Kluyveromyces lactis: one gene and its partners. The protein of the gene in region 1 purifies or fractionates together with the protein of each later gene. This does not show direct contact. Links are inferred from orthologs where the notes say so. Each region holds a gene or a part of one and is shown in the gene's direction. Other genes may lie near its edges.

Region 1 (12,139 bases):
TTATTATAGAGGTATAAAGAGGAATGGTGGGTTTGCTCGTTTCGGTGAAATTAGATTAGGAGATGATGACCTCATAGAAGAGAACAATACCGATAGAGCTGTAAACACAGTTCTTAGAAACGGAGTGTTCCTCTTCTCTAATGTTTACACCGGTCTTCAATATTTCGGACACCAAGTGGGGAATTTCTTCAAGAGAGGCTTAAGCAGATTTGGAAACACAACAGGTCCAAGTTATCAATCCCTCTTACACGATCAATTTTTAGATGACGCAGATGATTTACTTGTTGGACACGATGAAGATGCTGACGATCTTGCAAGTTTCATCGAGAATGAGGGTAATTTTGAAATCGGTAACGACGAAGAAGTTGACCTCTCATCTGATACACCAACCCATGCACCATATTCTGATAACCCAGAGGAAGCGAATCCTCATGAGTCAACTTAAAACATCAACACTTACCTAGTTTATGTTTTTGAAGATACTCGAACTCTTTAACATTATACATAATTTTCGTATAGAAAATGGATTTTAATTTAACTTTCGGGTAGTTCACTACTAACAGCTTATAATCTTTATAAAGTAAACATAGAGGCATATATGAGTGTCATACCTTGAAATTTTTTCAGTCTTTCTGATCAGTTAATCTTTGAATAAACCTTTTTCAATGTGAAAATGTGAAATTTAAACCTGGATAAGAATAACTAACAATACAAGAGAAGCGAATATTGATGTCGGCTCGATTCCGGTAGTATGTGTTCAGAGTTTGTCTAATCTCTCATCTTTTCGAAAAGGATCAAGGAACAAACATGGCTAAGTTCAAACCAGAATGGTTTTATTTTAAACTAAAGGTAACGTCGCATGATTCGGAAAAAGACAATGAGATCCAAGTGGATAAAGTAACTTGGCTTCAAATGTTGAATACAGCTTTGAAAAGATCTCACGGTGTATTTGGCGAAGCAATTGAGTACGAATTATTATACGTGGATAATTTGGATACTATTGCAAAGGTAAGCGTCAATGATACTGATATTTTTACTACTGCCATAAGCACTTACATAGCGAGCGATGAGTTGGTCGGTACCTCACTAATAATAAATGTGCTCGAACAAAGCAATAACCTGTCCGGATTGACCGTTCATGAGGATGATAGAATATGGTTCAAGAAATTGGTAGAATCCGAAGCCGAGATAGAAGCTGAATCCAAAGAAAAAGAAAGATTATAAACTAAATCATAAATATTGATGCATAAAATAATAATAACCCAGAATGGTGGAACACGGAAGAACGATTACTTCCATTGAAAGAAGCCACAAGATGCTTCTGGATCATCTTTTTCGCCTTTTGATCGATTGCACACCCAAAACTTTTTACCAAAGCTTTTGTCAGTCTTAGAGACTCGAAGAACAGCTTCTTCACCATGTTCACAAACTGGTGCTTTTCCAAGCATTTCCTCGAAAGCCTTCATATGTGCACTCTTGACGCGCGACTGAGGCTGTATCGATACATTTTTGTTTTGATCTTTGGAAACTGTTGCTGAGGCCAGAGCATTCATGCCGTTATATTGCTTGACATTCAGTGGTTTTACTACTTTGCCCGTGCTTGTCGTGGAAGGACTGGTGCTTTTGCGATTGGCCTTGCGGAACATATCTAAAATGTTCCCATGGTTCAAGAAATATCTCGTGGCAGCCTCAAATTTTGGCTTATTGAAGCTTTCATGTTTAAGTTCGAGGTTATCTACCTTGATATCAGCAAAAACTGGACAGTGATCTGATCCCATAATAGTGGTCAAAATATCACCGTCCGTAATATTATCCTTTAATCCTTTGCTGACAAAGATATAATCAACACGAGAACCGTAATTGACCGGCCGAGTATTTAACAACGTATTCCAGACTGTATACATTTTTAGTCTGTCCCTACCCTGTATCTTTCGCGTAGAATCTACTAAAATACCCTCTTGTGCATATTTTGAAATTATGGAATCGCATAGCATTGTATTAAGCAACCTTCTTCCAATGCGAGATGGGTCCATGATGAACTGAACGCATTTCTCATTAAACTTTTCTTCAATTTCAGAGCCCGTCTTCTGTTGAGATAAAGAAATAGATGATTCATCTAGTGCCGTAGCATGATCTTTCAAATCTCTGCAAACATTTATGTCCCCCATTAGCACGACATGCTTCCCTAACCCGTGCAAATTTCTTATCCGCTTGAAGAGTAGCTTTAAAAACGTCAGCCGAGACAATTCTCCTTCTTCGGTTTGTGACGAGTTAGCAGGGCAGTATGTTGAAAAGATAACAACATTACAAGCCAATTCGATGATGATACATCTTCCCTCGCTGTCAATATCAAGAAGGTCGTTTTCATCAGCAAAATCCAAACCAGTATATCCACCAATCCCTTCTGAACTCTCACGATAGGATATGCCATTAGCTTGCACTCGGAGAAGCCCCGTAATTCCTTCCTCTGCCTTAATGACCTTTAAGTGATGTCTTAATGGATCATCTTCTGATGGTGTACGAATCCAGCATCCAACCCCACTGTACCCTTTCCTCTTTTGAGATATAGTAATATATGATTGGTAACCTTCCACTTTACCCCATTTAGATATACTTTTAGCATCTATCTTCAATTCCTGTAGTGTCACTATATCTGCTTGAAACAACTCGAATGCTAGTTTCAATGAATTGTTCATCCTACTAAAAGGATAATGTTGGAAAAGAGTTCTTACTCCATTCACATTGAAAGTTACGAACCGTACTCCAGTTTTATCTTTCACTTCATCCATAATCAATGGTTCAGGCACATAACTCTCTGGTAATCTTCTATATAGAGCAGTTGCACGTATATAGATATGGCTCACTCTCTTTTTCTATTAAGCATCTGTGCTGCAGTTCTTGTTATCTAATTGAATTATTGGATCTTAATAGCAAGCATCTTACAAATAATGCACATCGACCGTAAGATGAAGATTATATGTAAAAATGAGACCTGTATATAAATCATGAACTAACTGAATTTGAGATATGTCGTTAAAAAGGAAACTAACTAGTTACTAATTATGCCGCATAGGTTTTTGCAGCTAGCAGTTCTGATATTAAGCTCTTTTCTTTGTAAATCACCAAAATAAGTAACAATAATGCCAAAATGACGTTAATAAGTAGTTCCCGCATATTTTCCACATAGCCTATGAAATACCAATCTAGGGCACCGATTATGGCTGCGATGAGAGCAACGTTCTTGAAGGTGGAAATGTTTGGCAAGATTGATTGAGTAGTTTCAGTTGACGATTCTTTTAGTAGGTAATGGTAAAATTTATGAATAAAGTTACCACAGTATGCTATTCTCAAAGCCATGTTCAAAATGTTACTGACAATGAGCCCTTCTAGTGATAGGTCAAAATATTCTATGAATAACCAACAGTTGAACAAGAAAATGCCTGAGAAGAGCATCATGACGTATGAATGTTTGAAAATCTGATCACCGGAGGCAACACTTTGGAAAAACGCCTCGAAGATACCATTCAAGGAAAGGAATGGAATATAGAAGCAGTAAGTTCTTATTGTTTCTAAAAATGAGGTACTTGACCACTTAGATCCAATGACAAATTTCAATAAGTATGACGAATTGATTGGTCCGAATATTATAATGAAGAGTGATAAGTACAGATAAAACTTGGTTAGGTCAATCAAGACCTTCATAGATAACCATAAGTTCTTCTTCGACGATACGCTTAACAAGCGCGCTAAAAACAAGCGTAATGCCTCCTCAATCGGAGCAAACAATAGTCTTGTTATCAAAGAGCCGTAATTTGAAAGAAGAGAGTATATACCTTGCTCTTCCACCGTGCACAACGAATTTATGATTAGCTTATCACCTTCTGTTAACAAATGCTTGAAGCATAGCTGGAAATACACTTTTTTGAAGTGCTGAACGGTATCATTTTGGAAATAGTATGACTCTTGTCTTGTTTCAGGCCTGATTTTTGTCAACTTGTAGCTATAACGCTCTCCAGTAGTATAGACCTCTGAGTAATAATTGTAGGAGTAACATGCAAGTAAAGTCATCGCGTGAACGAGCTTACCAACTGCAAATGCAAAAATAGCGATCCCTTCTTGTTTGTAATCATCATGCAACTCTAGCCCAACTCCGTTCACCATTTTCTCAAACCAGACAACTATAATAAAGTTCGCAACACATGCAAAGGTGACACCTAAACTCTCATATTTGGATCTGATAAAGTGATTGAGTAAATATTGATGTACCAAGTAGAACGGTTCACTGACCAACTCAATCAATATACTAAGCCATATAAGGAATATGGAGGCTTTGAAGTATGGAAGGTCAATGAAGTACGAATTTAGATTAGAGTATTGCCATGAAATTAGGATAATAGACAATGGTAACCCAATCACAAACGGTATATAACCAAAATTAATCAGGGATTGCAAAGTTCTCGTATCCTCACCATCCTCTACTTTTTCCAATTTGCCGCTATCTGTTGTAGATTTGATCCGTAAGGTGGAGATCCGAATCGATTCTCTACTGAAGAATAGTACTGTAGAAAGTAAAAACTCTAGGAAAGAGGTAATACCAAAAATTCGGGGGGATAAATAACGCACTAGCAAAGTGTTCAACAAGAAATTAACCCCTTTACTCAACGTTTGTCCCAACATTAGAAATAAGACTCCATTGGCGAATTTGTTCATATGCTCATTCTTGACATTCATTCTTACCAAATGATATGAAGTAACTTTGCACCCTTCTTAAAGAACAATGCTGAGCACTAGCACCTACAGCAGTATAAACCAATCCTATCGATGAGCACTGGCCGTTTATTGGATCTTATTAGTGTCTTTCTTTGCCAATGTATACATTGAAAAATCTCGATCTTTGACGTTCAGCAAATTCAAAATCATCAACAAACCTTAAAATACCCATTCATGACTATTAACTACATAATAAAAATACTAAGTGTTTAAGGTCTTTCACTGATTTGGTCTGTTATGAAGATCAGAGCTAGCGACACCTACTAAATATGGATACAGAGACAGAAGCTGAGAAGCAAGAGAGGCATAATAACTATCTTAACGAACTAGCGGAGCAAGATCGATGGCTTCCGATTAACAACGTCGCAAGACTAATGAAAAACACGTTGCCAGCGACCACAAAGGTATCTAAAGATGCGAAGGAATGTATGCAAGAGTGCGTAAGCGAATTCATATCGTTTGTCACTAGCGAGGCCTGTGATAGATGTACCAGTGGGAAGCGTAAGACTATTAACGGTGAAGATATTCTTCTATCGCTACATGCATTGGGATTCGAGAACTATGCCGAAGTGCTCAAGATTTACCTAGCAAAATACAGACAACAACAGGCAATAAAGAATCAGATGATGTACCCTAAGGAGGATGTGGAAGGTTCATACACAGAAGAAGAATCAAGGGCAGAAGACGCAGATCACGTGACACAGGAAAGGCAGCAACCTCTTCATCCTGTGCCTTCTTCAGCTTCCACGACGACAAGCACAGAGGTATCGGCATCAGAACATGTACAGTCGTCTTCAAAAAGCACTCATAATCCAGCACAAGCTCAACCACGGATTGTCGTCCAACAGCCACTGGGATCGCGCCATTCTACTGCGGATCACTTGTAACATTACCTCTTTCTCACTATAACAAAACGCATCTATATATATATATATATATATAGATATGTATGGATGTACTTAAATATTTAACGACCACGGCTCAATCACATACCAAGGAGGGATCTTAACGTACAATTTAATGCCAATTGGCAAGCAAGTGGTACGATAGGTCCGTCTTGACAGATTATATTTTCCGTATTAGTGCTAAAATGTCATTTTCCGGTGATATTTGCGCCACCGGTATTTATAATATTTGTAAGATAAATACCAATTTATACAACTAAGGAACACTTGGATTCCGGTAACATTTTAAGAGGGAAAAAGGCCTTTCATAGTAGTAGCACAATAGATACATTAGGAGGTATATTCCAATCTAGTTTTGATCTAATACCCAGGATTTTTGATCAACTGAAATCAGATACGGAAGTGATTATTTATTTGGTTTCGAAGGTGTTTTTTAACTGTGACTTTTAGTTTCAATAGAGCAGCTTCTAACGGATAGTCACAAAATTGAGATACAGTTTACTACACACCTAGTCGAACAGCTTCTGATACCGGGTGACTAGCTTTTTTTCCCTCAGTTTATTTCAAGTGCAAAGGAGATCACAATGTTAAGAAGTAGTAGATCCCGCCTTGTGACCAGGAACATCCTTTTGCGTCAATTCAAGAATGGTAACAACGTCAGGTTGATGAATGCAACGAGGTTCCAGCATAATGGCATAGTTGGTAACGAAAAGTTAGCTTCGGATTCTCAGAAGTTTGTGGATGAGTCTTATCACTGGATGCAATATCGGAAACAGATGAACGACCCTGTTTCAAGACAGAGACTTGAACAGTTGGAATCCCAATGGGTAAAAAGCATACAGTTGAAGCAGGATGATAAGGGCAAGGATATAGATCAGCCAGAATCTGAAAACAGGAAGAAAGAAGAGGAACAAGTCCCTACTGAAGAAAAGGACAACGATACTGCAAAGGAATCGGAAACATCTCAGCAACGGGATTCTGTTGCAGAGACTCAGGGCCCAGCTAGCACTTCTGGAGGAGCATCGGGTAACGGAGAATCATCAGGTAATGGAAGCGGTGATGATGGTAACAATGGAAGTGGTAATGGAAAACCTTCCAAGAACGCTAAACAACCGTTCCCCGAAGTTTATCCCCAAGTGATGGCATTACCAATATCTCGCCGTCCATTATTCCCTGGTTTTTACAAAGCAGTTGTAATTTCAGATGAAAGAGTCATGAAAGCGATTAAAGATATGTCAGATCGTCAACAACCATACATTGGTGCATTTTTGTTGAAGGATTCTACTGTTGATACCGATGTGATTCATAAAGCTGATGAAGTTTACAATGTCGGTGTCTTCGCCCAAGTTACAAGCGCATTCCCAAGTAAAGACGAAAAGACTGGTGCTGAAACGATGACCGCTCTATTATACCCACACAGAAGAATCAAATTGGATGAATTGATCCCACCAACTTCTGAACAAAACCTGAAGGATGAATCAGATGTATCCAAGAGCGAAGGTGTCGAAAATAATGAACAAGAGGTAGTTAAGGCCTCTTTACAAAAGATGGAAAATATGAAGGATGTTGAAGAAGATGACGATGAGAATTTGACCGGGTTCTTGAAAGATTATGATGTTTCATTGGTCAATGTATCCAATTTGGCTGACAAAGAATTTAATCCGAATTCCCCCGTCATCAATGCGTTGACCTCTGAAATTTTGAAAGTGTTTAAAGAGATTTCTCAATTGAATACCATGTTCAGAGAACAGATTGCAACTTTTTCAGCATCAATTCAATCTGCCACCACAAATATTTTCGAAGAGCCAGCAAGATTGGCTGATTTTGCCGCTGCCGTTTCTGCTGGCGAAGAAGAGGAATTACAAGAAATCCTTGAATCCTTGGACATTGAGCAACGTCTTGAAAAGGCATTGACAGTGTTAAAGAAAGAGTTGATGAATGCTGAACTACAAAATAAAATCTCTAAAGACGTTGAAACTAAGATTCAAAAGAGGCAGAGAGAGTATTATCTAATGGAACAATTGAAAGGAATCAAGAGAGAGTTGGGTATAGATGATGGTCGTGATAAATTAATTGAATCTTTCAAAGATCGTGTATCTAAGCTACAATTACCGGAAACAGTTCAAAAAGTATTTGATGACGAAATCACTAAATTAGCGACTCTCGAAACTTCACAATCTGAATTTGGTGTGATTAGAAACTACTTGGATTGGATCACTTCCCTACCTTGGGGTATTATATCTAAAGAACAGTACAGTATACCAAAGGCGAAAAAAATCTTAGATGAAGATCACTATGGTATGAAGGACGTCAAAGATCGTATTCTTGAGTTCATCGCCGTTGGTAAGCTTCTCGGGAAGGTTGATGGTAAGATCATCTGTTTTGTTGGACCACCTGGTGTGGGTAAGACATCCATTGGTAAGTCCATTGCTCGCTCTTTGAACAGACAATTTTTCAGATTCTCAGTAGGTGGTATGACTGATGTGGCTGAAATCAAAGGTCACAGAAGAACCTATATTGGTGCTTTGCCAGGTAGAGTCATCCAAGCTTTAAAGAAATGTCAAACTCAAAACCCGTTGATTTTGATTGACGAAATTGATAAGATTGGGCACGGCGGTATCCATGGGGACCCCGCCGCAGCGCTATTAGAATTATTAGACCCAGAACAAAACAATAGTTTCTTGGACAACTATATGGATATTCCAATCGATTTGTCTAAAGTTTTATTCGTTTGCACCGCTAATTCTTTAGAAACTATCCCAAGACCATTGTTGGACCGTATGGAAGTCATTGAACTAACTGGTTATGTTGCTGAAGAAAAGGTTAAGATCGCAGAAAATTATCTATCGCCAAGTGCAAAGAAATCTGCTGGTTTAGATAATGCTAACGTCAACATTACCGAGAATGCTATTGTTTCTTTGATGAAGCATTACTGCAGAGAAAGTGGTGTTAGATCATTGAAAAAGCACATTGAGAAAATCTACCGTAAGGCTGCGTTGAACGTCGTTAAACAATTGAGCATAGACGATAAACCTATGGAAAATGAAGAAGTGAAGGATCAAAAGGATATAAAGGTCAAGCAATCCGAAAACAAATCTAGTGCTGAAGCATCGACCGTAGAATCCACTACTGAAGAAAATGAACTGATCAAGACCCAAAAATCTCACGATAACAAGGGTTCCTTAGAAGTACCGGAAACTGTTTCTGTGACTGTAGACGAAAACAACCTAAAGGATTACGTAGGTCCACCAATCTTCACTACTGATAGATTATACGAATCTACTCCTCCTGGTGTTGTGATGGGTCTTGCATGGACTAGCATGGGTGGATGTGCAATGTACGTAGAGAGTGTTTTAGAACAGCCTTTGACACATTCAACTCAACCTACTTTAGAACGTACCGGCCAACTTGGAGATGTAATGAAGGAATCCTCTAGACTAGCATACTCTTTCTCAAAGATGTACTTGGCCAAGAAGTTCCCAGAAAATAGATTCTTTGAAGTTGCAAAGATCCATTTGCATTGCCCTGAAGGTGCTACACCAAAGGATGGTCCATCTGCAGGTGTGACAATGGCCTCTTCATTCTTATCACTGGCTTTGAATAAGGGTCTTGACCCAACAGTGGCTATGACCGGTGAATTGACTTTGACTGGTAAAGTTTTGAGGATCGGTGGGTTAAGAGAAAAGGCCGTAGCAGCCAAGAGATCTGGTGCCAAGACTATCATTTTCCCCAAAGACAATTTGTCAGACTGGGCTGAGCTTCCAGAGAATGTGAAGGAAGGATTGGAACCTTTGGCCGCAGACTGGTACGAAGATGTTTTCCAAAGACTATTCGGAGACGTAGACACTAACAAGGGTAACACCGTTTGGTCAGAAGACTTCAAGAAGATTGATGAAAAACGCAACAAGGAAACTAAATAAATCAAACCCAATGTCATTTATCTTATTTAGTCCCATGTAAATATATACACTACTGTAAACTAAACACAGACGAATTTGATACGAATCCACCGCCGAATGAACCCCAGGTACTACCATTCTACTTAAACAACGATTATTTGGATATACAGACAAAACGTACACGAATTCCCCATGCGGCCTTCAAATAAGTATAGAGAATTTATAGATATTAACAACATCGACAAACTGGCCAAATATAACGACATGTCAACTCGTTATTCAATAGTACGTTTTATCGGGCTTCTTTCTGCTGACGCTTTTATATAGTTCCCTTCACGTTATGGAATGATCAGGCTCAATATAAAAAAAAAAAAAAATGGAACGATGAAGCCTTTCACTAGTAACATTAACAGAAGTAAGTATTGAACCACAGAGGCCAGATTCGATCTTTTGAAGCTGACAACCTAGTTATCACTATGTTCAGAACTTTGGTTCTTGGAGGCAGAGGCCTCAGCGGTATTCGCATAAGTTCCCGTGGTTTAATGACCCGTTCAATATCAAATTTGGTAAAGACAAAGAATGTGATTCCCACTGTTGCTCTTAAGAGAGCTTTGCCAACAGTTTCAATGGCGTATTTCCATACCAGATCTATTGTCAGGGAAGCTGTACAGGTATCGCAAACTACTGGTAATGGTATAACAACAGCTACGGCATCCACGGCTAAACAAGCTAAGTCAAAACCCTTGCTAAATTCATCAAAAGTGGTAGGGTACTGGTTAGTTGGTACTTCAATTCTTGTGTTTGGTATTGTCGTTCTCGGGGGGTTAACCAGACTTACTGAATCTGGGTTATCTATTACAGAATGGAGACCTGTCGCTGGTACTTTACCACCCTTGAACCAGCAGGAATGGGAAAATGAATTCACCAAGTATAAAAGTTCTCCAGAATTTAAACAGTTGAACTCTCATATTACCTTGGATGAATTCAAGTTCATTTTCTTTATGGAATGGATTCATAGACTATGGGGCCGTGCTATCGGTGCTGTATTCATTCTGCCTGCTGTCTACTTTGCTGTCGCTAGGAAGACATCACCTCATGTTAATAAAAGATTGTTTGGTTTATCAGCACTACTAGGTTTACAAGGTTTTATCGGTTGGTGGATGGTCAAGTCTGGTTTGGATGAAACACAATTGAAGGAAAGAAAGTCCAAACCGACTGTCTCACAGTACAGATTGACTACACATTTGGGTACCGCTTTCATGTTATATATGGGTATGCTCTGGACCGGGTTTGAGATCTTGAGAGAGGCCAAATGGGTTAAAAACCCATCCGAAGCTCTTGTTTTATTCTCAAAACTAGATAACCCAGCACTAGCTCCATTGAGAAGATCTGCACTTGGTCTACTAGCTTTGACCTTTGTTACTGCGATGTCTGGGGGTTTGGTTGCTGGTCTGGATGCTGGTCTAATCTACAATACTTTCCCTCACATGGGTGATGATTGGGTACCAAGTAAACGTGAATTAATCGACGAAAACTTTGCTAGAAAAGAAGACAAGAGTGATATGTTTTGGAGAAATATGTTGGAAAACCCAACTACGGTTCAACTGAATCATAGGATTTTGGCTACAACCACTTTCTTCGCTGTGTTTGCATTCCACATGTACTGTAACAGAAACAAGGCTATCATTCCTAAACAAGTTCTACGTACTGCTCATGGTATGATGGGTCTTGCCACTTTACAAGTCACTCTAGGTATTTTTACCTTGTTATATTTGGTTCCAATCCCTCTAGCTTCTGCTCACCAAGCTGGTGCCTTGGCATTATTGACAGGTTCATTGTTGTTTGCTTCTCAATTGAGAAAACCAAGAGCCGCAATTAGAATCCTCACCGGTGGACTCTATACACAACAGCAAAAGGCCTCTTCTAAAATCTTAACTGAGGCTTCCAAACTTGCGAAGTGATCTTGGGAACTACGAATGGATCCTTTTTTTTCAATTATTTTCTTGTTTGTCCCCTTTACTTCCTATTTATTATAAACACTGGGCAGCACATTAAATGTTATCTTGTAAATATATATACTCAAAAGTTGCTACCAGTGAACTCCTACCTTACTTTAAAGTGTACTGTTTATACACAGCAATTACAATGCCTCTAATTATTACTTCGACATAAACCTTTTCTCATTATTGATGACAACTTCCATGTTAGTATCCGACATTCTCCAAAGAACGAACATAAATAACGTTCTATGGGGGCTAAATAAATCACCACAGAGCTCAACCACGTCTTCATCGTGGATTTTCCACTTGAAACTCTTGTGCTTTATTTTTGATTTCTTGATAAGAGTCCGCTTGCTGTGAAGCTTCTTTAAGATCTCTGGTCGTTGTTCCAAGTACCTTGAACATCCCCTTGCGATTCCCAAATCTTCAGCTGCAAATACATTTAAGCGATGTAAACCTGTAACTAAAAACATCTTCGCTGACCACGGTCCGATACCCTTGATATTTGCGACTAGCTCTTCGATGATTTTATCATCGTCTGCAAAGGCAAAGAGATCTTTTATAG
Region 2 (9,607 bases), on another chromosome or scaffold:
TCATTTACCTTTCCGTCTATAAATTTGTGCAAAATGTCAAGGTGTGAGTTCTCGTCTGTCATAGACTGCCAGTTATTACGCTTTTCAGGGTCTGTTGGTGAAGTCTCCAAATTCAATGTAAAATAGAATAATAGACAATCATAAATGAAGAGAAATTGGTTGATATTTTGAACCATAGAAATACGCTGTCTTCTGAACTGGTTTACGGTTGTCACGATTGGATCAAACATGAGACTTGTTGGTGGTTTCGTAGCAGAAAAAGAATTAGATTTTGTAGTTGGAGAAAGATTAGGAGTTAACGGTACGGCGAAGGCGCCATACAAAGAAGGATTCTCATCGGTATCAAACTTCTTTAGGTTTGATAATATGGAATCAACAGTGCACAAAGTACCTGTTCGACCACATCCAGCAGAACAATGAACGAGCACAGTCGGTGTGTAATTAGGAGAGTACACGTTATGTGCGAACAGACTATCAATGACAAAATTCTTCAAATTGATTATTTGCAGAATTTCGTTTGGTTTGAGCAATGTCCCTAAGTCTGGCCAGTCTTTTATCTGTAATTGCAATAGTTGGAACTTACTTCTATCATTATTATAGCTCAGTTCAATTCTTCGAATGATGATCTCATTGTTATTGTCTGAAGTTTTGTTTAATTTAAGATGTCTCCAAAACTTAGATGCAAACATATCTTCCTCATGGTTAGATTCTGCCTTCATTGGTTTATCTTGTAACATAGTACTAAATTCATCCAGAAGTTTGACGTTTATACCATCATAGTTACCGTTTGCCCAAAAGTTGCAACACTTCTCAACTCCATTTTCAAACTCATCAGTTAGCGTTAGAATTATGGGCACATTGTTGTTCAGAATGCAGGTGTAGAAGTCCGAAATTGTCTCTTTCAAAGGAGCTTGGGTGGCAATATAACGTACAGACTTGATGTCAGCGGTAGAGCTTTGCTGAAGTTGGGCAAAAGGATTAACCAAATAGTTAGCATTAATATAGGTATTCCAAACATCCTCTTGTTCATCTTGAGTTGGCAAGCCACTAGCACAGGAACTATATGCGGAAGATCTCGGGGAAGGGGTTGAATTCTCACAGCCAGCACTGCATATACTAGAATGCGAGAGCTTTACTCTTGTGTGCTCATAAGGAAATATATCCTTATATCTATTCTTCGTCCCAAATTCTACCCCAGATGATATTGTGATGCTTTGTAAGTTCTCTTCAGCATCATCCTCATCAACATCATAATGACCATCTTCGACACATCTGTCGTTACCAGCTACAGTAGACCGAGATTGAGTGCTGACAATTGAAGCGGACGATGAGGGGCCCAATAATCTCTGAAGTCTTTTTCTTTCTAATAACTCCAATCTTTGGAACTTAGATATAAAGTGCAGTTTTGGAATGTCCATTAATTGGCAGAACCAGGAAGGAACTACCTGATTGATCTCCTCTGAAGCAAATCTGTGGTATAGGTTATCATATTTAACTTGGAAATTTAGTTTAGATGAATTGTGGCCACTAGAAGGATCTGCTGGCGATAATGCTGTTTGAGTTGAAGTAAATGATGACGAAGTCGCATCGGTACTGAACTGTTTGGACGGTGAAGCAGGAAATTTGAAGGATCTTAGGTCATTTTCTGATTCTAAGAAAGAATTTCTTTGAGAGCGTTCATTGATCTCTACGGCCTTCACATAATTATCTAGATCGGAAATGTCATGCTCAATCTGCGGTAACTTAAAAGTTGGTAAATGTTGATTATTTATCGGTGCCGGCAGTTTAAATCCAAACAAAGATGATAATGGTGATGATGTGGATATTGGGGAACCAGATAGAGTCCTACTGTTACCGGTTTGTGGTGGCTGTTTCAAAGGAGAACAAGAATGCGAATGAGATCTACCAGAGTGTTTCAACTGCGGTTGAACTGGAGAAATATTGTCTGCCTGATGAGGGGAAGATGGGGAATCTAAGGTATAAGAGTCTTCCAAATCCATGGTACCAACTTCGACGTCATCAGGATATGCTGCATTAAATGATTCAAAACCTTCTGCGAGAATGAAAACAGAAGGCTTTTGTTTGTCACTTACATGATCGAGGATCTTAGAAGATATTCCGAAACATGCCAATGATACTGCATAATCTGTCTGGTTTGCCACATTATCGTAAATAACCACCTTGGCATTTGCAGTGGCGCTGTCACTGCCCAATAAATATTCCGATAAAGTTTCCCTTCCTGGGGAAGGTAGATTACCTATCAACCTTTCCAGATTGAAGTTTTTCCTTTTCAGTAAAGTCGAGGGAAGACACAAGTGCATTGCCGATCTGATGTGATTTTTGTTGAACTCTATGAACGGCCTTGTATCGAATATTATCAGTTTTTCATTGGGATTCTGGTCCATATTTTCAATATAATGGTGCAAGTCCGCAGGGCTAATAAACGAGCAGTCTTTATGTTTAGGAAATCGGAGATCTTTTGGACATATTGTTGGAATAGCGGGCAAGCTATTGGACTTCATTGCTATGCTCCGCGATCTACTCCGTGAAAACGAAAGGGAACTTCTATGAGATGCTGACAACGGTGAAGGTGTACATGTACTATACGAAGGTTCAGATGCTGAAGGGAAAGTCGACGCATGTATCAGAATCTTTTCGGGCAGTACCTCCGTTGAATTTCTTTTGTAATTTGCGCTCAGGGCAGGAGATGCTAACGATGAATTCGACGATTTATCATCGATCAAAGTGGATGACGAACTTAGAACTGATGAACTTTCCGATGTGAATGAGCTGCTCTGAATTGAATCACGATCTTTATACTCTGTACATCCAGATATCGATGGTGGTCTAGCGAGAGGCCTTGAAAACGAAAGAGGTTCTTTGAGTTGGATTTCTTCCTGTTGTTTGTTGGTGCCCATCGTGTCTATATACTCCATTTCTCTTCGAAATTATAAATAGATTAGATTTGACACCCTATTACTAACAAAGTACTTTCTTTCTGTATGCTTAATTTGACAGTTTTGTCTTGGTATAGGTTCTTATTTGGTGTCTTCGTTAAAGCAGTGATTCGAACAAAGTTAAAAGATAGCTGAAGATGTTGGAAGCTGTTCTATTTGGTTCAATAATGCACTAGACCTAGAAATTACGAATTAGAAAACACTTGACCGAAAAGAAAAGAAATTCTAAAAAAGATATTGAGAAGAGGATTGCATAAGGATACACAGATGCATGCATTCGAGAAACATATCCAATGGAAAAAAAAACAACAACAACAACAATTAGCACGCACATCCACGTGATATACGGTCGAATTACATAAATGCATATGTGATATAGTAATGCCCACTTCGTTGGTTGAACCAGACACCTTGCTACTTAATTAGATTACTTTTCATCTGTAGGAAATTACCTGAAAAGACACCTTATGTAGGCAGAAAGGTACTGAAAACAAAGGACTCAGAAAAATATGCGATAAATCTTCTAAACTATTTACACCCTCATGCCGATTGCAATTTTACCAAGCAATACTCATCTCTTGTTGAATAAGAACCGCAAATTGTCAAGACATGTTACAAGGATATCACGGATGAAGAAGCAGTTTCTATGGTTAATTACGACACTCTGTTGCTTTGTGAAATGTATGAACAAAAAAAAAGACACAAATCTAGAAATCAACAGTAGAGCCGAAAGAACGGTATAATAAGGACCGAAAAATATGCTAATAGTCAAAAGATCTAGATCCCCTGGGTACTAGTCTGAGAGTATGTTCTTGGACTTGTACTCTTCAACTTGTGAAAAGTAGTTTAATAGAAGAATTGCAGATGGCTGCATAACACACCACAGCAAAATCCTGGGAATAAATTTCAATCATGAGCATAATCATAGATGGGGCTCTTTTGCGCAGTAAATTACGTCGTTACAATTATTTGCAACTGGCTTTTTTTTCTTTCTTAGAACTGACAATGAATGTTGTCCTCCGTGCTCTTGCAAAAACGAACACGAATTTTCTCGGGAAAACCAAGGCGTTGATCATTGTTCCGGTTCGAGACTACGGTCGAAACGGACATTACCTCTCTGCCCTAAACACACTCTGATCAGTAAACGTTCATTTGTCAAATAGTAATGCGAGAGTTACCATGGGACTAAGGCTCGAAAAATTTCGTACTTTTGATCCAGAATGTTAGCACGGAAAGCAGTGACCAAAACGGTTCGAAAGTTCGCTTCCCTCACAAAAGAAAAGAATTTTCAATAGAAATGGACTCGGGTCTCGAACATCTTTCTGCAAGCTGAAACGAAGAAATTAACGTAGTGAAATAACTCGGAAACTAAAGGCTACCACTACTCACAAAACGAAAAGCGAAAATTACGTACGCCTAGAAGTCAACGCACTGTATCTGTACCAGGGTCCGCCCTTAGAACTGTTCGAGCAATTTGTACCCGGATGGCGTCTTTACCTCTTTTATTGGCTTGTTTACACTTTACTCATTCACGTGACGCTGAACGTGCGGGTAAATATGAAAAGGGCATCCACCTCATTACCCTGATATACTTTCTTTTTGCCACACTCTAGGATCGAGAGCTGAAAGGAAAAAGAATTCTGGAAAGATTATAAGCTCTTATATTGAACTGTGATATTTCAAGCGATGAGCTAGCTTATTTGATCCAAATTTAAGGGTTAAAACAAACCAGTCCTATAGGATAAGCCCCCTCCCCTGATAGAATACTATGTCCCTACGTTTGATTACCCGTGTTGCCTCCCGTGTTGCTGCTCGTCCAGCTTCCATCCAGGTGGCCAGAAATGTGATTGCTCGTCCAACCTTTATCACATCTTCCCGTCAACTCTCCTATACTGCTACCACTTTCAACCAACATACTACGAAGGTTGCTCAAGTTTTAAACAGCGAAGTCGAATTAGAAACTTCTCAACAAATTGTCGACTTGCCAGAAGAATTGGCTACTTTCCTGTCCAAGTACGGTTTTGAGCCTGTCGTTCAAGAAGGCCGTAACTTGGCTCACATTAGAAGACAATTGAACGATGAAACTATCAATGTCTTCTTTGACGTTGCTCAAGTTGCTAACTTGCCTGTCGAACCAGCTGCTTTAGAACAATCTGAAGAACAATTGGAGGAAGATTTCGATAGTATGTCTGATAACTTTGCCAATGTCAACATTGTCGTTGTGAAGAACTCCGACAACACAGCAATTTCATTTGAGCTTTTGATGAACATGCAAGAAGGTTCTTTCTACGTCGATTCCGTTACCCCATACGAATCAGCAGAAGATGCTTTGAATGAATCAGCAGAAGCCGAAATCAAGAGAGAATTGGGATACCACGGTCCTCCATTCTCTAACTTGGATGAATCTTTGCAAGAGTCCTTGGAATCTTACTTGGAATCCAGAGGTATCACCACCGATTTAACTTCATTCATTTCTAATTACTCTGAGTTCAAGGAGAATAATGAATACATTCAATGGTTGTCGAAAATGAAGAAGTTCTTCGAGTAATTGCAACAATAACTCTTTTTCAATATGACTAAAGACAGAAGTATTTGTTCATTCAAAAACAATTCTGCCTCTTGGTGGTTTTACTTCACTACTGATCACTGAGCTTTATGATCCCTCTATCAACATTTCTCTTGTATATACATAATTTTTCTCTTACCTTTTTTATTATGGATTTTTAAGGCAAATTTGTACATTATATATCGCTCTATGTAATATCTGTTATAATGTACCTATCGTCTTTTCCATTGGTACCTTTGATTATTACACCGTTTGCAATAGTTTAATTATTGAAATGCAGAGCCAGCAAAAGACAAGCCTCCAAGTGAGATGCCTTTTTCATTGGTTTAGTATGTACAGGAGGCATCTCAATTATGTTGGTGAAAAGTCATCAATGTTGGTGTCCAATATTGTTTCACAATATTGTCTAAACAATTTTTCGATTTCGGGGCTGTTAGAATCCCTATCATGTTCTAGGTTATCCACAACCTCTAGGATTCTCTTTCTTAATCTTATTAGATGCCTACGAAACAAAAATTTTCTTTTAAGTAAAGAATTTGAATCTTCCGCTTCAGCTTGCACTTCCTTTAGTTCTTCATCGGTTAAATTCAAAGATGATTCCAATGATTTTATAAAACGTACAGCTTCAAGATAAACAAAACGCATACTCTCTCGAGTGCTTCCTCTCTGCTTCAACAACATTACTGGATCACAGAGCATTGTGGTAATGAACTCGTCTATTATCGTTTTCTTGAAAGTCAAAGGTAACGCGTCTTTGCATGACATAACAATTCTCAATAAGAACATCCATGGTTTCCAGGATAAATAGCTCTTGTACTCATCATTTTGAATCGAAGTCTTTGCTTCATTGTCCTTCATAAGTGCAAGACATGATTTTACAAGTTCTGTCGCCTTTACAGGATCACTGTTGTTTAGCTTTTTAGTAGCCTGTCTTTCAAATGCTTTATAAGTTAAAACGACGTGCTGTAAGGGTTCCCGCAACATACCATCATCCATCATCTTACGAAGTAGCTCATAACATCTCTCTCCACAGTTCTCCGGATCTGCTTTGATAATTAAGTTCAACGCAGCGTTTATTGTTCTGTTGTTGAAAAGGTTTGGTCTTTTTCCCAGGTAATGCTCGAAGAAAGCGATACCATATTCGTATTGTCCGGTCTTAAAGCAATTTTCCATTAAAAGATGTGCAACATGGGGAGTCAAACGCATTTTAGATTTGATATTCCAATTCTTCAAAGCAGGCAACTTGACAAATTCTGGTATTTCTTTCTTGAAACGAACATTTGGGACCTTAAAATCATAGAATATATCAAGCAGAGGCAACACACAATTGGAAAATCGTAGATCCCTTCTAGAGTGCCAAACGTTCAAATAATGAAAAAACATTTGTGAATCGATAACTTTGGGGTCAGCAGAGTTCATTATATCATCAGCCCTTTGAATGGCTTCCACTGCATCTGTAATCTTCGCACATCCAATAAGTAGTTGCGTGTACGCAATTGCATCTTTTTTTATACCTTTGGGTCTCAAATCAAAACATTTGAACAGGTAACTAGGGTCGTTAGAGTTCGCCAACGCACTTAATGCAGCGTTAAAATTTATATTATTGAGTCTTTCATCTTCAACCAATTTTAAAACTATCTTCACCACTCGTTCTGCAACTTTGACAGAAATTGGTTCTGGCAACCTTGCCAACCCTTTGAACAAATTTGTTTCAGTGTATTCATTGGGAGGTATTTGCCACTTCTTTCTCCAAGAATATAAATCCACAGCGGAATGGCTATCTTTTTCAACTTCTAGATAATGTGTCATTAATGTGTTCATTCCAGCTGCACCATTTGGTCCAGCAAGCTTTATAAGAAATAAAGCCTTTTGCAACTGGCCTCTCTTACAAAATTTCGCAACATCGCGTTCCACCAATATTGAATTTTTTAGTTGAGGTCTAGATATACCTAGTATAGTATACATTAATCTTTTATCGTTAGCGACAGAAAGAATGCTCGTATCATCGTCCGAAGTTGGTCCTACTTTGATAGACTTATCAAGATTAGTAATTTTGTGTCTCCCTTTTAAGATTTCATTCGCTTTCTTAATGGAATATCCGTACTTCCGAGCTTTGCGTGCTTCCCTTCGAGCGATATCCCTCTGCTTTCCATTTTCCTTCTCTGTTCGCTTCACAAGTGTCTGTGTCTTCTGCAGAAGGTCCAACTTAACCTTCAACGGTGAGCCGTAAGGTACCCGCGTAGCATGAAATGCCCTAACAAAGCGCTGCGCACATGGCACATGTATAACTGTTCGACCTATCGACATACAGATTCTGATGCTTGCTGACTGACTATCCTGTCTAAACTGCTCTTGAGGTGTCTGCGATGAGGTTGTACTCAAAGATTCGACCGTGATTAATATTTTTCCTACTACAGAATCATATTGGAAAAATTGACATAATATGCAAAACAGCCATATCTGAACGAGAACAAGAAACAGTGTAAGCTGCATCACACGAGACATAATTAAAAAGACCAACAAGGTGAGTAGTACTAGAATAACATCAAAGCCTCTGAAAAAGAGTTAGCATTGTTTGCGATTGCATTTTTTACATGTTTTGGGGCTGTTTTTGATAGAATATTGCATTATATATGACACAAGGTAGGCTATTTTATCCGTTGGCAGTGCTTCAAGATCGTCATTTCAGATCCAAATATCCAAATTACAATGAAAGTAGAGAGCTCAAAACCTGGAGTGTTGTTTCAAAGCGATTTCCTGCCTGGGAACAAAAACTAGTATCTATGCTACTTGATAATAAATACGCTGAATCCATAATATTTATCAATAGTGATGTTTCTATGAGCTCAGTGGGTGTTTTCAAACGGACCAAACTCCTGATTAGAACTCATATTCTAAATTCTCATTATAAAGCAGTGATTGATTTTGAATCTAGGCTCAATACCCAACCCATTACTTCTGAGCCAACGGAATTAGCGGATTTCATCGAGTGCAAGTTATTATTGATTTTAAATTGGTTCCTAAGGGGGGAATATCATCAGTGTTTACAAAGGTTCATTCAACTAATCATCGACATACCAAACTTGGTGGAGCTAATGGTAACTCTTCCAAAAGATGATATCTTTATATCGAATGAAACAATGTTTTACATCATCACTGTATCTGCATTAGTGTCAATTCCCCTAGATAATTTGGACACATTCATTCATTTAGAAGAACTAGAACAGTTTCATAAACACTTTGATGTTCTTGCTGGCAAGGGCAAACTTATAATTAATAGTAAGTTCATGAAGTTTTTCGACTGGTGGCACAATGATATGGAGCGGCTTTGCAAGCAAGATTATTTCTTAGAAAAAAAGTGGGATATAATATCTAAGACTATGAGACAAAAGATGTACGCATTTTATTTGAGGATAGCAACTAAAATACAAATTAGTTACCTATCCGAAAGAGTCGGAATATCTCGAGAAATTGTCACTCAAGAAATCACACAACTAATCTCGGAAGCCTGTTTGAATTTCCAGATTCATGATGATCTCATTTTATACCAGAAATTTGACCCTCAGATGGCTCTAAACGATTTGATGATGACTGAAGATATCACATTGGATAATAAGCTCTCCCAATTACGTCGTCAAAACCATAATTTGAGAGTAATCGTCGATGAACATTTAGCTTTAAGGAAAAGCAGAATACAGCGGCGAAGCAAGGCGAGTGACGAAGAACCTATGAATGAAGAAGAAGTTTTCGCTCTGAGCGAAAACGAGCTCTGTAATGAGACTGCTGATACTTTCAATGATTAAGAGAGTACGTAGTTTTGTTCTATTTACATGATAAATGCTAGTGAAATTACATAACTTTTAAATATTTTCGAACCGTTAGAAATCAAGAGGACGAGGTATGTCGTGATCTATTTTGGTAGAAACACCATGCTGAACAATGTTTTCGATGTCAATTACTTCTTTAGCTGCTTCAACCGTCAAGTTAGTGTATGAATTCAGGCCAATGGCAATATCATCTTCGATACGAATTCCAATATTCCTGAAATATTCGGGGTATTTTGGATCATTAGGGATGTAGAGAC
Region 3 (10,396 bases), on another chromosome or scaffold:
CCCAAGTTCTTGACTAAAGTCTTTTTCAATGATTCTTCCCAGTCACCATATATCAGTTTAAGCTTGACAGCAGAATTGTAACACTCAGCATTCTTATAGGCACAATACAAATGGTCGATATTTGAATCTATCCCGTAAACTTTCTCAAATAATCTTGCAAACTGAATGGTATTACCACCGCCTCCACAAAACACATCAACAATACAATTTCCATTGGGTAGACAATGCCTAACATAATTTGCAGTAAACTGTGCAAGATTTTCGGGTGTGACACTAAACCACAATTCGTCTGTTAAATATATGTTACCATTATTTATGAGCTTGAAAATGGTTGCCCTATTTTTCCAGAACTTGAATAATTTCTTATCATTCGGCCTTTGGTAAGGGTTTATTCTGTAACTATCATCGAAGAAATGTTTCTTTAATCGATGCCTTACTTTTATATTGTTTATTCCATCTATTCCTTCAAAACATCCAAGATCTTTTGGCGTCTTTAAGAGCCACGACATCTGGCTTTAAATAAATATCTTAATGACTTGGACAACAGTTCTGCTCCATTATTTTAAACTATAACTATATTATGTGTTGTTTTTACTATCCCATCTCATCGCATCTCTCTGCATTAATTTTGTTAAATTTATAAAATGATGGTTGCAGAAAAGAAATCCAATATAGAAAGGAACTATTAGCAAGTGCCATCTCCAAGATGTGTGATTTTACCAACATCTGACCTGCATCTACAAACCCTTGCCTTTCTAGTTGTTAACAATGCGGCATGTCTGCATTTACTTTAGGTGTAAAGTAGAGAATACCTCTCTCTTGTAGCCCCGCTTTGCTGAAAACTTTGACATAGAACGAATACTCTTCAACAAAAAAGGATATAGGGGTACTTCATCTCCCACCGTTCCAAAAAGAGTACAGTAGACTCTGTTCTGAAGTTATACCTGTAGATAAACCGTTGAATGTAACTGTTTACCAGAATATGGTAAAGTCAGTTAGTTCTTCGGTTGTCAGCTTGATTTAATATCATAGCGAATTTCAAGTTTTCGAGTTCCTTCGTCATTAACCAGAAAATATAATGGATTTGGCACTAAAGTAATTACATAAAATGGTAGTGAAATACATCAAGACAAAATACTGATAAAAGAAAGCAGGTTATCATTGTTCTGCTATTATTCTGAAACAGTCTTAACTTAGTTTTGAGATGACGATACATTATGTGACACCAAATATATATTGGTACAAAATGCAACAAATATCTGGTATTCTAAAAGTATATATATAAACTCAGTTCATGATGATAATCTAGGCACTCTGATGTTAAGAGAATTATAGATGGGCAGGCTGTCACTTGGGCTGAATGAATAATTTCCTTTCAAGATATCCTTATGAGTAAGATGTTGTGAAACAGGTCACGTGTGTATTCCATCGTGGTGTACGGATGAGATTTCTGCCCAGCATCTAATTTCCCTTTTCATTACGAACCCAGCATGAAATTTAGCATGTCTTTGCAGATAAGGGCAAGCTGATACAAGGTCAGCAATATTTGCTATTCCAGTAGAGTGTCGTATGCGGCCTCTAGTAAATATGGCTGGCCCTGCAACTAATCATTGATACTGAATCAGGTCAGCTTGTTCCTTAAATTGTTGTCTGGTATCATCCTTTCAGTATCTATATATATATATATATATATATATTTGAAGGAATGAATGAAGAACTTGAATAAGCTGAATGGGGAAAGCGATTCCACGATTGTATGAGTCTTTTTTGTCATCATGAGCCACTTGCGTAACCTTTCCTGGTGCAAGCTTCGTAAAATATCTTAAAAGCGTTACTCAAAATTACGTGCAATACTGTTATCATCGAATACTCTAGCTGGTAAATACTGAATTACCGAATAAATGATCAGAACTCCCACAAGAACCAAAACCAAGTCCTATAATGGATCTCAATCAGAATTTAGGTTCCCAGATGTTGAAGTTTTGGCTCATCTTAAATTGCCAGAACATGGTTTAAACAACCATCATCTACTAAACGAGCAATTGAATAAGAAGCCAGAAGACGATATTCACTCCCAGCATTTATCTGACTATACCACGACAAATTCCAACTCCGGTAACTCATCTAATGGATACTACTCATTTGCTAACATATCTGATAATACGACTAATCCTGACAAGTTGTCTGCTGTCAAGAACACAGCTTGTGCAATTGGAAACAACAGGTACTCATATATATCATCTTCCGGTTCTTCAGTGCATTATCCTGGAACACTGGCACCGGACAGAACACCTAGAATATGTCCCACAAACTCACCTGAATTTGGCAGGCCATTGGATGGTAACTTTGATATGCAATGCATACCAGAAGCATATTCTACGGTTACCTCTGATTTCACTTTGCCGACTGCCGACAATATTTCTTTCCAGTTCACACTGTCATCTGGTAACTCCACTGCAATGCTAAAGAAGCGTAGTACGCCGTCTACGAAAACGCGAAACGCCACGAACTTAAGTGAGAAACGGAAATCATCAGTCAAAAGATCAACTTCGACTGTGTCAAGAAGGTCGAATATAAAAAGATCAAATGCGATAAGATGCAAAGGTGGACTCTTACACTATTTCACTAAGCTCGGTAAACGTGTAAGATTAAACCTTAAGAAGTTCCACCTGGCTCTAAAACGCAAACTCTTTACGTACAAACAACGTCATTTCGCAAAGTCTGATAAGAGGACAACATCACATTTACTTCGTTCAAACGGGTATTTCGCAAATATTAAGAGGTCACAATCGATGAGATCAATGGCTTCTTACTCTGATACATCCTCTCCAACCGTTCCATCTGGATTGGATATAAAGAATACCCCGATTGTCAAGCATTCCTCCAACATCAACCATCGTTCATTGAGGAGAACTCCATCCTCTATTAAGCGTGCAGCATCGATCCTTACGAGCAGTAATTCACTTATTTTTTCTAGAAGTAATTCTTCCGTCGGAAGAACTGATTCAACCCGTTTAGTTAGGTCTCAACCTTCTCTAAATTTAAACTTAGCGGTAAGACAACCTTCCATCGTTGTTAAAAATAAGGTGATACCACTTTCTCAATTCGATCATGACGATTATTGTATTAGAGAAGAAGACGAAGACGAAGAAGACGAAGATGAATATATTATCGATACACAAAAGATGCAACCACTAAAGTCAGAGATGGGATCTATTACATCATCCTTACATGATGGTGATTCTGTCTTCGAAGACGCTATGAGTTCGTCTGCCTCAATGGAATCATTGAGTGAATCTGTCAAAATTCTGAATGCAAATAAGGCTTGGGATTCTTACCTTCGTGCAGTTATCTCACAAAGAATTTTGATGAGATTGCAAGTCGCGAAGTTCCAAGCTTCACAAGATCACCATACTTACAAAGAATTGCTTGACGCCATTGTCACAGACTATGAAAGCGATGCTATCTTTTCGAATAACGACGCACAAACAGAAAATGACTCCATGTCAGAATGTGACTCCCCTCATGAGTTCGACACTCTAACTGATTCCTCGAGAAGTACACCAGCAGTTGTTCCACAGAGTTTACGCGAAAGCTTTTCGTCATTAGCTAATTTCCAAACCTCTGTGAAAGCCGGTGTTCGGAGAAATCTAACATTACCTGTAGGTATCAGCATCTGATATCTCATTTCAATACATTAGCATTAGGAGAGAGCCCATTTATTATTGACATATTTTTCCTGGACATAACTCCCTTCTTCCACCTCCCCTCATTAGCATTACAACATCATTGATTCCTATATATTCATATTAAGATAACCACGTTTGTTGTTCATATTTATCGCATTTCTAGTTCTCAACAGATAGAGTCAGATATAGACAGGGTTGTTTAATTAACTTTATCTGATGATTCTATCATTTTTGAATTTATTCTCTTTAGGCAGGTCAACAGATTTAAGATCGGGTGCGAGACCTTGCATTGAAATGTCTGTATAAAATTTATGAAGCAATCTGCACAACGGTTTCACGTACCACCTGTCCAAGTTCATGTCAAACCATCCAATGTGACCTCCCCTTGTAGTTGTTAACATTAAGGTGTACGGATTACTTTGGACTTCACGATATGGTAGCGCTTCACATCCAACAATAGGATCATCTAAGGCATTCAGAATCAGTAATGGAGTTCTCAACTTGTTTAATCTGTTCGAACTCGTACCGTGCCTGTAATATTCAAAAGACGTATTGAATCCAAACATTCTAGCCGTAAAAAAGTTATCGAATTCTTCCACTGTTTTCACTTCATGTAGGTGGTCGGCGTACATACGCGCCATTTCAGGATTTTGCTTCAAAACATCAAGATGAGATGTCGTTAGTTTAACTAAATTTTTCGCTAACGCTGGAGTGTAGGCGTATTTCCCTATCAAGTTTCTTTCCAAATGATAAGATGATGCCGTTAAATCCCATGGATTTCCCAACACAACACCTAATTCTACGTCTGATTGATCGGATTCTTGTCCCAGATAATTGGCCGTCATACTTGCCCCTAAAGAGACCCCACATAAAAAGAATTTTCTATTAGGAAACTTGTTCCTCAATTCCTTCACGCAAAACCTTACATCATCAGTCCATAGCCCACAATACAAAAATGGTGTCGTAATGCTTGATTGGCAGCACCCACGGCTATTTAAGACGCAGGCTTCAAAATTGTACTCGTTCGTGATGGTGTCAACTAAAGATCTGACATAACTTTCGTTAGAACCACCTGTCAACCCATGTAATATAATGAGCATCGGCTTTGTATCAGACGATCCGAACTTTTCATCAGCATCAAAATAGGTATACCTCGGAAGCAGTTGATTTCTCTGATTTTTGGGAACGTAACCAGTCTCTTTCCATAACGATTGGGGAACACACACATCTAGTGCACCTTCACCGCCGTCTGGATAATTGAGAATATATCTCTTATAATAAACCAAATGTTTCGATTCGAAAGTGAACATCGAAGCAAAAATCGTCTGCATATGACCACTGCAAAGAAAAGGTGGAATCACACACTTGCTATTATGTTGGAACTCCGGTGCATATTTGTCAATTAATGATTTAATGCTGACACTTTTTGCAGTTTTGCCTGGTTCGCTGTTAAATTGTAACAGCTCATCAGGTAAGAACTGCTGTACAGTTTGAACCCACGGTAATAACGAATATAATTCTCCCAATACCATTAGTAGCTGAAAAGCTCTCTAACACTCAAACACTGTTATTGATCCTCTTTTCTAATGTACCTTCTTTCTATTACATTAATCCATGAATAACTACCATAATGTTAAAGACCGATAGCATTAAGGTTTACTTTTCTTTCTTCAAAAACCCATTATAAGATAAAATACGTAAGGTCAGATGAAGACAATTCTAGATAGAAAAAAAAAAAACACACAATTGACATGCGAGCAATCGTTGGTAAAAGAAATCGCTACACGTTGGAATCAGATGCTCTATGGGTAATTAAGCGTTGCCACGGCTACAAACATATAGCCTAAAGTCACTTGTTTATTAGTATTTTGGACAAAAATTATGTAATATAATCGTTACCTATGACACACATCTACAGGTTCCGGAAACTGAAAAGAAATTTGAAAATAAAGATACCTGATTTTCACTTTTAATAATCAACCCATTTAACGAGAGGTTTATCCTCACGAGAATACAACAGCGATATACAACAAATAACGTGCTGATAGCAGAACATTAACATCTACGTCAAGGTTGCTATTAGTTTTACTAGATCGATCACCACTGTCAAAGGGTTAGAGACTTTTGAAGCGAGCTGTTTTTTTAGGTGTTGCTACGAGTTGTTTATTGGAAAATCTGGAATCTGTTTACTCCTTGTTGGTTTTCCCTCAGTGAAAGATAGAAGGATACTTCTATATCGAGGCACATATAATTACAATGATGTTCAGCAATGTACGTCTCGGTTCACGCTCTATATACGTGAAAAATCGCATATCTGCGGTATCACTTATAAATGGTGTAAGGAACCAGAGTTCTGTCAACTTCCAAAATAATCAGATGTTACAAAAGCAGAACTTGAAGCAATCGAAGCTCAAGAGTAAACGATCAAAACGTAAGGAGGACGGCGATCTTGTGGATTCGATGAAGCTTGAAGGTAAGCAAGAAAGTTCGGCATCTGCCTCTTCTTCTCCTTCTGCGGAATTAGGTAAGGATTCAGAGGAGAAGATCATAAAAATGGCCACGAAGAAGTTATCTAGAGATTATTCATGGTTACCAAGAGTACCAACCACCGAACATATATTAAGAGAAGAGTTCAACTCGGATATGTTATATTCTGGTTATAGACCCATCGTTGTTGGGGATAAGAACGCAAAGGAGAACAAATTGATGCAGTTTGCCATGAAATTAGAAAAGCTTAGTGAACCTGTACCCTGGGTATCAAGTGCCACGGGACAAGAATTTTTCAGCGAATGGGATAATGTACCATCAGAGATTATCAAAGATTTGAAACCGTTCCATCCACCAAGTATTGAAGAAACAAACAATGCAAAAAATAAAGAAGCCAAGGAAAAGTTACAAAAGCAAATATTACTGAATGAACAAGACAAATTAATAAATCGTAAGCGAGGAAGAAAGAAGCCCATAATCAGGTTATTGGATCTGAAACGCAAATTCGAGAAAGAATGAGAATTGAAATCTTTGGAATGCCAAGTTGATTCTTGACATTTTCTCGAGATTCTTTTTATTTGGGCTAACGATAAACAATTATTAGAATCTCTCTCTCTCCCTCTTTTCGTTAAAATCATTCCAGGGACTCACCATACCCCTGAAGGACTACTTTCTAAGTTAACACTATAATATTTCCAATTTTTCTTCCCTGTATTTCACGATTCATATATAGTATATATATCTAATGCATACGATTTAACAAACACAAATAATTTCGCCTTTTACTTCTGGAAACTAAAATATGTATGGAATCTTTTACAGGAGTCAAAAAATTATGACATCTTTCAGCAATGAAACGATCCGACCAGCATTTCCACTTTGTATGTTCCCTTTCCCAATTCTTAAACGTCATTAATCTTTGAAGATTTCTTTGAGTTTTTAGCTTCGCTACAACTGTTGCCGCTATAGCTATGGTGTATTATCTTTTCAACAGTTTCGAAGGACGGGAGTGCTTCATAATTCTCCAATTTCGTTCTAAAATCGAATTGTGCACTAAGCATATCGTTCCTGGTTTCCAATGTTGAACCGTTCAACGTCTCTATTGTATCACATAGTTCCATACATGTATCGAGATCAAAATCCTGCTGCCGACTATACACTATGAACTGTTCTGCATCGTTAAAATATTCTGCAAACACTTTATCGCAATCCTCTTTTACAAGTTGTAGTGATACAGAATCGTGCCAGCCCATTGAGAGATCAAGCTTTCCCTACCACTTGCTGCCTCAATGACAAGATAATCGAACCAAATCCTCTATTCTACAGAAACCTGGATAAAAATATGTGGTGGCCCGGTATTTTCGAAACTGCATCAGATACACACACATATATATATATATATATATATGACATATGCATCAGGTAGTTCCCATGCGTCGACCTATAACTTCCTTCAAAATAGCGGAGTTGCCAACAGAAACGTATATATGCCACTACTGTGAAAGTCCATAGAAATCGACTGACTCAAAAGAAAACATCTCTGAAGTTTTGTCGCATTTCTCCCACGCCAAAAATTACATCATATTGGAAAACTGAACAGCAAACACAGCATAAACGATTCGTACAAATTCCCAGCTTCTCGTTTCGTTCCAGAGGCTTTTCCAGAGATTTGTCACCTTGTCTTATCTTCAGCGAATAATATTCGAAACAACTGACGGAATTGGGGCTCTAATACAACACACAAAAGCCCTTAGTTTATCCGAGACACCGCGAAGACCGGGACTCGAGCGACGAAAACCTGTGCTCTATTTGGCTCTCTCTCCAATGGAAAACTGAAAACGAATTAATTCCGGGGTATTTCAGCGCGGGTAACAAGGTTTTTTTCTTCTCTTACATGGTATATCTGTTCAAAACTCCGAGAAAAGACACAGATGAAGAAGCATTTAACTCCGATTTTGGCGTGGGTTGGAATTTCTAACTGAGTAAGCAATTAAATTTGGTTGAAAACAGAATATACAAAACGGTTACAGAGAAAATTCACATTACAGGTTGTTTGACATCGGTACCGTTTCTATCTTTCTATATAACAGATGCCTATGGGGTCATCTTCTAAATGTTGTTTGTGTGATTAATTATTTTGTTATTGTTAATTTATTTTTATCTATCTCTATTCGACGTTCTTGATCAAGATAGCTGGTTCACCTGGAATAGCGTTTTCAATGGCTTTGCTCTTTTGAATCGTAACTTCTTCATTAGTAAATACGTTCTTGGCGGTTTCTGAGCCGTATGGTAACGAGAGAATTTCGTATTCGGAAATCTTGATTGATTGAGAAGACTTCTTCAAAATATCGAATGTAGACTTTACAGTTTCGATTTCGTTGAATAGTAAGTCTCTTGTGAAGACAGATTCTGGTGATTCAGTGGTTAATCTTTGTTTTAGTAAGGAGATGAATGGCATAGCACGCTTCATGTCCTTTGGATCGACCTTAGTCTTGACAACCTTGTTGTCGTCCAAAGTTTGGTTTTCGAATAATTCACGCACCAAATCGATGTACTTAGTTTGCCATTCTGGGAAAGTCTCAATAATGTACAAGGTCAACTTAGCTGGCTTTGAAGCATCAACGTCAGAACCCTTACCCTTCTTCTTTTTCAAAGCTTGGCCCTCTGCTTCTCTGATAGATCTTTGTAGATCTCTAACGTATTCTAGAGATACAGAGATACCGATGTCGACAGGTTTGTTGACAGTTGGGAACTTAGCGTTCTGTACGGAACCTTCTTTCTTTAAGACTTCACGGTAAATGTAGTCAGCGAAATGTGGTGCTACTGGTGCTAGCAACAATACTTGTGTTTCAATGTAACGTAGCACTAGATCACGGTGCATGACATCAGATGCCTCACGATAGTAATCTCTAGCAGCTTGATAATCGAACAAACCGTACTTCATAGCACTTTTATAATTGGTGGCAGCGTATTGCTTGTAAGTTTGTTCGATCAATGAATTCATTTCATTTTCGAACGCGATGTCAAAGAATCCATACTCTGAGTCGGTACGCAAATTCCCAATGTCCTTGACCATTTCTTCGGCCCATTCTTTCAAGTTATAGAGTCTTAGAATAGCAGCATTAGCATTAGATTCATCCAAGTTGGCATCTTCAACAGTGTCACCTGCATCAGCAAGAGCAATACGGGAAGCATCGGCACCGAATTTCGTCACCATGTCGTGCAAAGTCATGAAGTTACCTGTAGACTTGGACATCTTAGCATTGTTCAACATCAAATGACCGTTGACTCTGATACCCTTTGGCCAGAACTTTCTTGGGAACAATGCAACGTGAGTGTAGATAAAGAAGGTCAAGTGGTTTGGAATCAAATCCTTACCAGAAATGGAAACATCCAATGGGTAGAAGTATTCGAACTCTCTTCTCAATTTTTGCAAAGATTCTAATGGGATATCAGTGTTTTTCACTTCATCGACGTGTTGGAAGACATAGTCAAACACTTCATCTGTCATTTGTTCTGCTTTGATTCCCAATGGACCAATTTCGTTACCGTAGTAATCTTTGAATAATAAATGCGCAATGGTATAGAAGGATTGGTAGATAGTAGAGTCAGACAAAGATTCAACCAAATACTTTGGATCCCATGGTAATCTGGTACCTAGACCGTAACTACGAGAAACAGCCCAGTTTCTCAACCAATCTAAGACACTTTCGAAGGCATTCTTAACTTCAGGAGCAAAGAGTTCCATACCTTCCAAACATTCAATAGCTTGTTTCTTCCATTCTTCTTCACCGTAGTCGACATACCATTGATCTTCCAGAGAAACGATACATTCGTCACCAGAACGAGAAATGACAACAGATTCTGGTTCGTTATAGACAAAGGCTTCGTTGTTGGCAATCATATCGCTCTTAACCTTGGCCTTGGCAGTTTCGACCTTTTCACCCTTGTACTTACCATAGATCATAACACCAGAATAGAAATCTTCTTTGTATGCTAATTTCTTGGCTTCTGCTAACTGGTTGGTATCTTTTGGAGACTTTATTTTTAGCTCCTCGCACAAAGACTTGGCGGTTAAATCACCGTATCTATCGGTGTGAATAACAGGAACCAATTCATGGTTGATCCATTCAGGGTCGATACCATAATATTCTGGTTTATGTTTCAGATCTTGTGTAGTCATGTAATCATCTGGAGAGTTGGTTGGAACACAAGTAACA

The links.
Region 2: the proteins of PIM1 (region 1) and MAM33 purify together in Saccharomyces cerevisiae (affinity purification with mass spectrometry; 4 studies listed by BioGRID, with this or other methods). This does not show direct contact. The link is inferred for Kluyveromyces lactis from reciprocal best matches to the Saccharomyces cerevisiae genes PIM1 and MAM33.
Region 3: the proteins of PIM1 (region 1) and PET20 purify together in Saccharomyces cerevisiae (affinity purification with mass spectrometry; 5 studies listed by BioGRID). This does not show direct contact. The link is inferred for Kluyveromyces lactis from reciprocal best matches to the Saccharomyces cerevisiae genes PIM1 and PET20.

Annotation. Positions count from the first base shown.
Region 1 is NC_006041.1:913,007-925,145, reverse strand, and holds PIM1 (ATP-dependent Lon protease PIM1), read left to right. Parts: upstream 1-6,259; coding exon 6,260-9,595; downstream 9,596-12,139. Other genes in the region: PEP1 (type I sorting receptor), read left to right, coding at 1-445; POP8 (ribonuclease P), read left to right, coding at 808-1,224; DNA-(apurinic or apyrimidinic site) lyase APN2, read right to left, coding at 1,290-2,789; RFT1 (glycolipid translocation protein), read right to left, coding at 3,061-4,731; HAP3 (Hap3p), read left to right, coding at 5,040-5,657; COX15 (Cox15p), read left to right, coding at 10,051-11,535; MAG1 (DNA-3-methyladenine glycosylase II), read right to left, coding at 11,733-12,139. UniProt on the Saccharomyces cerevisiae protein: ATP-dependent serine protease that mediates the selective degradation of misfolded, unassembled or oxidatively damaged polypeptides as well as certain short-lived regulatory proteins in the mitochondrial matrix.
Region 2 is NC_006039.1:670,044-679,650, reverse strand, and holds MAM33 (Mam33p), read left to right. Parts: upstream 1-4,725; coding exon 4,726-5,505; downstream 5,506-9,607. Other genes in the region: tyrosine protein phosphatase PTP3, read right to left, coding at 1-2,936; MRX1 (Mrx1p), read right to left, coding at 5,875-8,028; PCI8 (Pci8p), read left to right, coding at 8,157-9,326; ICP55 (aminopeptidase), read right to left, coding at 9,402-9,607. UniProt on the Saccharomyces cerevisiae protein: Not known. Binds to the sorting sequence of cytochrome b2.
Region 3 is NC_006040.1:514,137-524,532, forward strand, and holds PET20 (Pet20p), read left to right. Parts: upstream 1-5,945; coding exon 5,946-6,695; downstream 6,696-10,396. Other genes in the region: TGS1 (RNA methyltransferase), read right to left, coding at 1-509; AIM44 (Aim44p), read left to right, coding at 1,902-3,680; MGL2 (putative carboxylic ester hydrolase), read right to left, coding at 3,899-5,221; KLLA0_D06083g (uncharacterized protein), read right to left, coding at 7,079-7,429; leucine--tRNA ligase CDC60, read right to left, coding at 8,344-10,396. UniProt on the Saccharomyces cerevisiae protein: Required for respiratory growth, stability of the mitochondrial genome and for proper assembly or maintenance of mitochondrial proteins.